Linked DNA regions of Kluyveromyces lactis. The protein of the gene in region 1 binds, or shares a complex with, the protein of each later gene. Links are inferred from orthologs where the notes say so. Each region holds a gene or a part of one and is shown on either strand. Other genes may lie near its edges. The genes, in order: BBC1 and LAS17.

Evidence for each region.
Region 2: the proteins of BBC1 (region 1) and LAS17 are in contact, whole or in part, in a crystal structure (PDB 1ZUK), measured with the Saccharomyces cerevisiae proteins. The link is inferred for Kluyveromyces lactis from reciprocal best matches to the Saccharomyces cerevisiae genes BBC1 and LAS17. Residues at the interface, in NP_012514.2 of Saccharomyces cerevisiae: Phe14, Tyr16, Tyr20, Asp23, Asp39, Glu41, Trp42, Ile58, Pro60, Ser62, Phe63; in NP_014824.1 of Saccharomyces cerevisiae: Arg350, Gly351, Pro352, Ala353, Pro354, Pro355, Pro356, Pro357.

The regions. Positions count from the first base shown.
Region 1 is NC_006042.1:1,351,397-1,355,848, reverse strand, and holds BBC1 (Bbc1p), read left to right. Parts: upstream 1-1,497; coding exon 1,498-4,053; downstream 4,054-4,452. Other genes in the region: PEX35 (Pex35p), read right to left, coding at 175-1,212; pseudouridine synthase PUS6, read right to left, coding at 4,212-4,452. UniProt on the Saccharomyces cerevisiae protein: Involved in the regulation of actin cytoskeleton.
Region 2 is NC_006039.1:433,169-437,412, forward strand, and holds LAS17 (actin-binding protein LAS17), read left to right. Parts: upstream 1-1,551; coding exon 1,552-3,513; downstream 3,514-4,244. Other genes in the region: CTS1 (chitinase), read right to left, coding at 1-138; KLLA0_C04752g (uncharacterized protein), read left to right, coding at 360-764; KLLA0_C04796g (uncharacterized protein), read right to left, coding at 3,639-4,244.

The DNA.
Region 1 (4,452 bases):
ACGTTAGAAACGTACGAATCGTGATATATATATATATACGTATGTATACGGGATCTGTGTATAGATCAACATATGCGTAACATTTATATACACACCGACACGAAAAGACTCTAATTAGAAAAGGAACACACGCATATTGATACAAATCAAACTAGGAACAAATCAGTCTGTTTATTAGGCAATTGGGTTCCTGGTTAGATATGAGAGACTAAGGGCAGCGAAAATGATTGGTTTTTGATAATGTGGTATCCTACCAAGTTCTTGAGATAACGTTGATCTCCCCAAGTATTTGAGTAGCTCCCAGTTAATATCTAAATGTTGTGGGTCGCTCAGCAAAGTGAATGACAACATGATGATGATCGATTTATGTAATGGCTTTAGACATTTGGAATGTTGACCGTTGAAGATTAACATCACCACCTGTCTCCAGAGCGTCCATTTTACACATTTGATAAAATTGTCACTGAAGAAATAACCATACACTCGTTCTTTGACCGACCCGCTTGATTTCTTATCGGATAACTCATTTAACTCTTCTAACCTTTGCATGAGTATCCTTGTCATTGAACCATGTTGTGTCTGAGATTCCTTTGCCTCTGAATCGAACGTCATTGAGGAAGTATTCACTTTATTCTTCTTAAGCTTCTCTTTCAAAAGGATGGATTTCACATTCTTATAAGTCTTGACGACATTCCATGCGACAAATAACAAAAGGAAGTCCTTCCAAGGTTTTCTAGTCTCGAATAATATCCTGTATAATCTCCCCTTCGATTGATTTCTGTGGTATAGGATTGGTATCAAGAGACTAGCTGCCAATTGCCTGAGAAGAATCCAACGGCGTTCGCTTATACTGGAATAATCAACCCAGAGCTTGATTTGATCTACAACAGATTCTACAGCCCAGTATGAAACAATCCAATGCGGTAGCTTAGCCTTGAGCTGCGAGAGACCAATCGTTAAACCCAGGAACCAGCTGGCATGTCTTTGACGAATTATCCTTCTCAGTAACGGTATAGCAACAACGATAGGCAAACCATCGAATAATGAACTGGCCGTTAACTTCCGGTGCTTTTTTAACAATGCTATAAACCCATTAACACCAATAACTCCAACGATGCGACGATACAAAGCGTTTCTATCAATTTCCGAATCATAGTCGTACGCTAAAAATCGAATGAATCTCGCCAAACGAGTATTCGAATTCAATGTCATGCCTTATCCAATCAGTCATAAGTTCTGCAACCCTCACCTGCTGATTGAACGTTCATATATGCCTTTCAATTGACGTGAAGTCTATCATTCGTTCGTTATCTACCTTTCGGTGAAATCTAATCCTTTAAAATTGTTTGGAAAAATGTTACTAAAGCCTTTGAAATTAAAACGATTCCTTATATCGCGAACTTTTCACCACCCCTTTAACAAAGAACACTCGGCGAGTGAAATAAAAGGACCAGCTTACTAGAAGAACAGTTCTCGAAACTAGATTACGTGTTAAAGATGTCTGTGCCATTTAAGGTCGAGGCATTGTTTCCATACACCTCAGATTTTGAGGATGATTTACCATTTTCCAAAGGTCAGATCATTACGGTGCTTGAAATAGAAGACGATGAGTGGTTCTTTGGTGAGTTTAAGGATGCTGATGGTAAAACAAAGCAAGGTATTTTCCCCAAAGGTTTTGTTAGTGAACCTTTGAAGGAAACTGCTAGTGAGCCTGCTCAAGAGAAGCAGCCAGAGGAGAAACCAAATGTGGAAACTCCGGTCAAGATTCCGGAAACACAGACTGTCAATCCAAATGCTGCAGCTGCAACTGCACCAGTCCAGAAGGGAAAGGTTTCTCAGGATAATGTCAGACAGTTGAGAAATAGTCTGTCGTTTCAAGAAGGTTCTGGTGATACTGAGAGGAGTGGTTTTGTTAATAGCGATGATTTGGTAAAGGAGGCTAAGTCGGAATCTAAAATGTCCTTGCAGCAAAGGATATCCATGTTACAGCATATGCAGAAACAACAACAGGAACAGGCGGAAACTTTGCATAAGCGGAAAAAAAGTATTTCTAGTGTGTCGTCCCCAACCGGCAGCGTTGCTACTGCTAGTGCAACTTCTCCAGTTAATATTGAAAAAAGGGAAAGTTATGATGCCTCTGTTATTGAAGATTCCGATGCTGAAAATCCAGAAGTTGATGTCAGTACTTCTAGCATTCACACAGCTCCACCAATTCCTAATGATACTGCTTCAATTGGCTCTCACCCTCAGCGTACCTACTCTATTCCTGAGGAGTCAGTTAACGAGAATGACGATCGTGATGATAATGATGAAAATGAATCTTCTGAAGACGAAAATGAAGAGGAACAAAGACGTGCTGCTTTAAGAGAAAAGATGGCAAGACTAGCAAATGCAAGTAGATACGGTATGCCTAATGCGTACTTCAACCCATTTGGAATGCCAATGCCTTCTGCTGACTCTTCGAAGACCCCAACCAAAAGCAAGAAACCAAAGGAAGAATCTGAAAGTCCAACTGAAACGTCATCTCTTCCAACAGCGGTTCCTGTCATGCCATTTGCCGACCCATCGATGCTGCCAATGTTTAGGAAGAAGACTGAAGAAATTGCTGTGGAAACTTCTGGTCATGCCGAAACCCCAGAAAATCAAGCTGACGAAGAAAGCGAATCTAGCTTTGTAGATGGAGTCGATGATGCTCAACCTGCTATTACAGGTTCGGTGAATTACGACAAAGACCCAGACTTCCAACATAAAGATGAAGTACCCGAGGGAAGTCAAGGCCTTTCTGGATATGAATCCGAAGATGAAACTACTAAGAAAGTGGAAGATGAAGAAGAGGAGGCTCCGTCGCCAACTGTTCCTCAAAGAATTAGGCCCACTCATGTTTATACAATTGATACTTCTCCGGGATCCCCACAAACTCCACAAACTCCACAAGCTACTAACGCCCCACAAAAATTGCCCGCAGCCCCTCCAATTCCATCTGCTCCTTCCGTCCCGCCAATTCCAACAGGTGCACCAATTCCTCCTGTTCCTTCAAGCGTACCTGTACCACCATTACCAACAAAGGCTCCAGCACCAGTTTTAAGCGTTAAAACCGAAAACACTGAGCAGAAACTGCCAACAAAACAGCCCGCTGCTGCCCCTGCTCCTCCAGTACCAAGCAGTGGCGGCCCTCCACCATTGCCTCCTTCTAATGCACCGCAACGAAGACCTTCAATTCAGACTATTCCAGGTGCAGCAAACTCATCACCAGCCACTCCTTCATCTGCTGCTCCACAAATTCCGGCCAGTTTCCAGCCATTAAGACGGACAACTACGGCGAAATTTGAACCAGGTACTATTCCAGAATTAGAGTTCTCAAAGCAAAGTACTTGGTGGTTAACTAAGACAGTTCAGGCTGATACTGTTAAACCAAGCAAAGTAAAATACATCTGGGAATCTCAGGATCACATAGTTGAAAGAAGGAATACAAATAAGTTGGTTGTCAGAGATTTCCAGTTCTTGTTCGAAGATTACTCTCAAATTCAAGCATATGTTGTATATGATCCAAAGAATCCAATTGAGACAGCAATTTCCCATCAGGACTATATTCCCTCCTCATCACAAAGTACTGGTAGTGATCTGTTAATCAAAACAATTTACGAAAACAGTAACAAATGTGTTGGTAAAGCTTGTCATTCATTTATTCCTCAAATATTGGGTCCAATAGATAATCTAGTCCCACCAATTGCTCAAAGAACTTACGGTATCACCGTTTTTGAACATGCTTATAACACCGCAATAGATGAAGCTGCGCTAGGAAAATTGGTACCAGGTTTGATACTTGTTGCAAGAAACGCTGAATTTACCTTTGACGATGGTTTAACGTACAGCTTGGGAATAGAAACGCCGTTTGTGGCCATTCTAAAATCTGTGGATCTTGAAACTCAATCTTTATCAGTGATTGAAGAGCTTGGTGGTGAGTGCAAAGTATCTATGTATCCACTTGAAAACTTGACTAAAGGAAAGTTAAAGGTGGCCAAGCCAGTACATCGCAAGGACATTGGTTGGTAAGAATGATACAAGGAAGTAAAACAAATTGACCTCTTGAAGAACAAATGCAAGAACACATATGCTGCTATTTGAATAAATATATAGTATATACAATATTGATTGAGAAGGATACTAAAAAAGTTAAATACATGAATAAAGAAACAACTCAAAACTTGATGTTAAGCTTGTTTCTCATTTTCGAACTTCGCCCAGTAGGGATAATCTGTTTCAAACTCCAAATCCAAACCTTTGTATCTCCAAGCATGTAGATATAGCTCTAACGATTCTGGAGTTGGATCTTTTGGCATTTCTTCGTCGCATTCAGGACATCGTTCTTGATTTTCATTCAATTGATCCCAGACATCATCCAGTTCAACCTCGAACCGCTTCCGTAGCTTTTCGATTCTTTCGTTTGTTAGT
Region 2 (4,244 bases), on another chromosome or scaffold:
ATAAGTACCTAACGATTCTTGAGTGCCTGCAGAGGCTTGGCCCCAATACACAGCGACGTTATCTTTAGCGTTTATGTCAAATGCCGAGGTGAGCAAAAGTTGAACCAAAGACAACAGAAGTAAACGAGGGTGAAACATTGTAGATTCTGTTAATACTTTTAAAGGAATGAATGGAGGGTGTTCTCTAATTTCAATACTAGTATCCTGCGAATGTCAGAATATGTAATCCTTTAATAAAGAGTGACAGATTAAAATTTAAAGGCTTGTATAGAGAGATAGCACACGCACACAGGTAAGTACTGTTATGGTAGTATTAGTAATTTTTGATATCTTGTATTTCTGGTGACCAGTTTAACACAATGATTGATAGTTGCATTACTGGTACCTCATCCTGCCATTGTTGTGCCCTTTATATACCAGAAATCACAAAATATGACATCGAGCTGGACCCCAGCACTTGTTTCAAACATTCCAAAGCATGTAAACAAACACACCACAGAAAGCATTCTCAAACACTTGCTCCTGCTCACTGTTTATGTTTACTCTGTTTCGTTTCGTTTTGTTTCGCAACATCCAAAAGCTGTTCCTGTAATATGCTAAAACATAATTTCGTGTCAAAAAAGTGCCTAGGAAAAAGAATTCTTTTTGGAAGAGTTTTACGCTGGACTAAAGAGAAGAAAGCATTTACGTTTAACGTAACTGTAAACAAGACACAAAATGTAAACCCAATCACGCCGCCTGTTGTAAACTATTTCACATCATAAGCACGCAATCCAAACACCGTCCACCTGCAAAAAAAAACCATCTTTCGATGTTTCTCCCTCTGATCTCTTCGAGCATGTAGCTGTTGTTTACCTTTTGAATACCGCATGCTGGTTGCCAAAAAAACCCAGCATAAAGCGATCAACACGTACAAAGTGATTCTGACTTTTGTCAGATGCTGCAGTGCCAGACGGTTCCTGGGTCAGGACAGAAATTCTTCTGCCATTGTGCCGCTGTAACCACGTCCACATGCGTCGGCCAGATGTATCAGTAAACAGAACTCTTAATTTTTCTCCGTATTATGTTCGAATGCGTGTTCGTACTGAAATGCTTCTTGTCTTTCCTGTACCTTGCAGTGACCTAAATGGGCACACTGTATTCCCATTTACAAATGGTCTGTTAGTACTTTTGAATTCAATATGGCAACTTGAACAAACCCCATTGTGTAAAGGTCCTTTTTTTTTTATCTCTCTCGCAGTTCTGTTGGTCCCTTCTTCTTTCACTGAATCACTCTGTGAATTATAGGGGAATAATGCCGTATTAAGAATCGCTTCAACTTTCAATATTGAAAAATTGAAAAGTTGCGAAATGTTAAACAGACCGAAAACTTAAGAACCGTAAATTATAGTCAGCCAAACCCCCCCACTCCCTAAAGTGCATCGCGCGTTTGTGTTATTTTCATTAGAACCCATCGGTAGCTGCCTCCGTCAAGAATTGATTTCAAGTTGAACGAGTTTACACTTCTTTTGAGAAATTAATAATCATAAAGCAGTTGTTTCCGAGTATACTATGGGAGGCTTGAATTCTGCTGAGAAAGAAAAGGTTAAACATGCTTTGCCCAAGGCTTCTAACAAGATTATAGATGTTACTATCGCTAGGTTATACATTGCATACCCTAATCCAGAGAAATGGGTTTATACTGGCTTATCTGGTGCCATTGCATTGGTGGACGATATCGTTGGTAATACTTTCTTTTTGAAGTTGATCGACGTGCATGGGCATCGAGGTGTTCTCTGGGATCAAGAATTGTACGTGAACTTTCAATATAACCAGGATCGTACTTTCTTTCATACCTTTGAATTAGAACAATGTAACGCCGGGTTGTTATTCACCGATATTGGCGATGCTTCACATTTTTTGAAACGAGTACAGAAACGGGAGAAATACGCGTCCAAGAAGACCTTGGCCAACAAGAATGCAATTGCATTAGAGGACCAAATTAAGAAAGAGGAAGAGAGTAAAGTGATCCATGGTCCAAGAGGCGAATCCTTGATCAGTGACCAAAGGGTCAGATATAGATATGAACCGGAAAAGCACGAGCACCGCCAGGAACACCATTACGAGCAGCCCAGCCAGAATTATGCTTCAACTGAAAACTCAGCTTCAGATGCAAGTGCCGCTCCTCCTTCTTTTGCCTCGAAACCACCGCCACCGCCTGTCGAGAAACAACCTCCTCCTCCTGTGAGCATCCCATCTTATAAGTACGACTCTATTCCATCATTCCCAAGCTCTCCTGCACCTCCATCGGTTTCCTCTACTCATTCTCCTACCCCGGATTCATCCTATGCATCAACACCAGCACCAAGTAATCCTCCTCCACCAATAAACCACCCGGTACATGCAGTTCCTCCTCCTTTACCAGCAGAACAATATCGTCCACTGGCTCAGTCACCTCATCCGCAATTCCAGCAGCAGCATAATTCTCCTTCACCTGCAGCACCTCCTTCGATTCCGCCTATGCAGCAAAGCGTTGCAATCCCTCCTCCACCTTCCCATCCAGCTCAACAACAAAACGTCACTAATAACAACACTCCTCAGTTTGGACAATATTCTGTTGCTGGTCTGCAACCACCTCCGAGACCAACTTCAACGAGACCTGGTATTGCTCCTCCAGTTTCGAGGCGTGGTCCGGTACCACCTCCCCCTCCAAGACGCTCAGCTGCTCCGCCGTCCATTCCTTCAAGAGGTCCTCTACCTAATGCTCCAACTGGCGGTCAGCATAGTCGTACTGGAAGAGGGCCTCCACCACCACCACCACCTAGACGTGGTGGCCAGGCTCCTTCTCCACCTGCAAGCAGAGGTACAACTCATAACTCAGCCATCGGCCCTCCCCAGCCCCAGCTTCCACCACAAATGCAATCTCCTCCTCTTCAACAGCATAATACCTACAATGCAGCGCCTCCTGTTCAGCAATATCAACCACCACAGCAAACCGCATACATTCCGCCTCCCCCTGTCTTACCACCCCACTCAGGTGTAAGCACTCAGTATCACCCATCGACCGAGCCTATGTTAGCCCAACCCCAGCATCATATAGCGGTACCTAATGGCACTGCACCTCCCCCAGCACCTCCTGCCCCTCCGGCACCTTTTGCTCCACAGATAACGAACTCAGCGCCCGCACCACCACCACCTCCTCCTCCTCCTCCAGCCCCTGCATTTAATCAACCTGAAGCAGGATCTGGTTTTGTTGAAAATACTGGTGATGCTGGAAGGGATGCCTTATTAGCATCGATTCGTGGAGCTGGTCTGAATTCCCTCCGTAAGGTGGATAAATCTCAACTTGAAAAGCCAAGTCCTTTGTTACAAGAAGTTCGTAGTGATGCGCCGGTATCTCAACCCACAGGCGGGTCAACTGGCGGACCTGTTGGTGCTCCTGCGTCCTTGGCTGATGCCCTAGCTGCGGCTTTAAACCAAAGAAAGAATAAAGTTGCTCGTGACGATGATATAGACAACGGTGATGATTGGTGAAAGTAATTCACCCTACTTGAACTGCATCTGACTAGACTGTGGAATTATGATTTGGTATTTGTATGTACGGTGTACCTATATATTACTTTCAGATGCCTTTAAAACAGAAGACAGATAAAACTAAACTAATTATTCAAAGAACTCCACTTATTTGACCATACCTGTATCCATTTCAACTTGGACTCATCTGAACCGTTTAGCTGTGTAATAATTTTTATAACTTTCTTAACATCATTATTGATAGCAAGTACTGATGTTTCCACTTCTGGATCTACTTCATATTCAGCGTTCACTAAGGTGGATGAAATTAAAGTATCAGAGTTAGAAACTATTGAATTGTGGAGTTGATTTAGCTCAGATAGATATGCTGCTGTAGTTACAGTATCCTTTTTTATGGTTATCGATTTGGATAATGAACTCAACAAGAGCTTAAGGAGACGAGATTTTTGCGATAGTGATTTGACAAATTCAATCATGGATTCTGAAGCTTCCTCTTCCTCTTCTTCATCTAAATCCGTACCTTCCTCATCACTGAACTTGTCATTCATTCCGAATGGGTCTGAATTTATTACTGGATCCTCCAACCACTCTTCTAACTCTTCGATTGAATCTTGTAGAAGCTTCACTGAAGAAGACAAATACTCAGTCAAGAGTCCTAAGTTACCTTGATTTGATAATAACTCTAGGTGTTCACATTGCGACCAAAGCATACCAATCGAAATGAGTCTTTC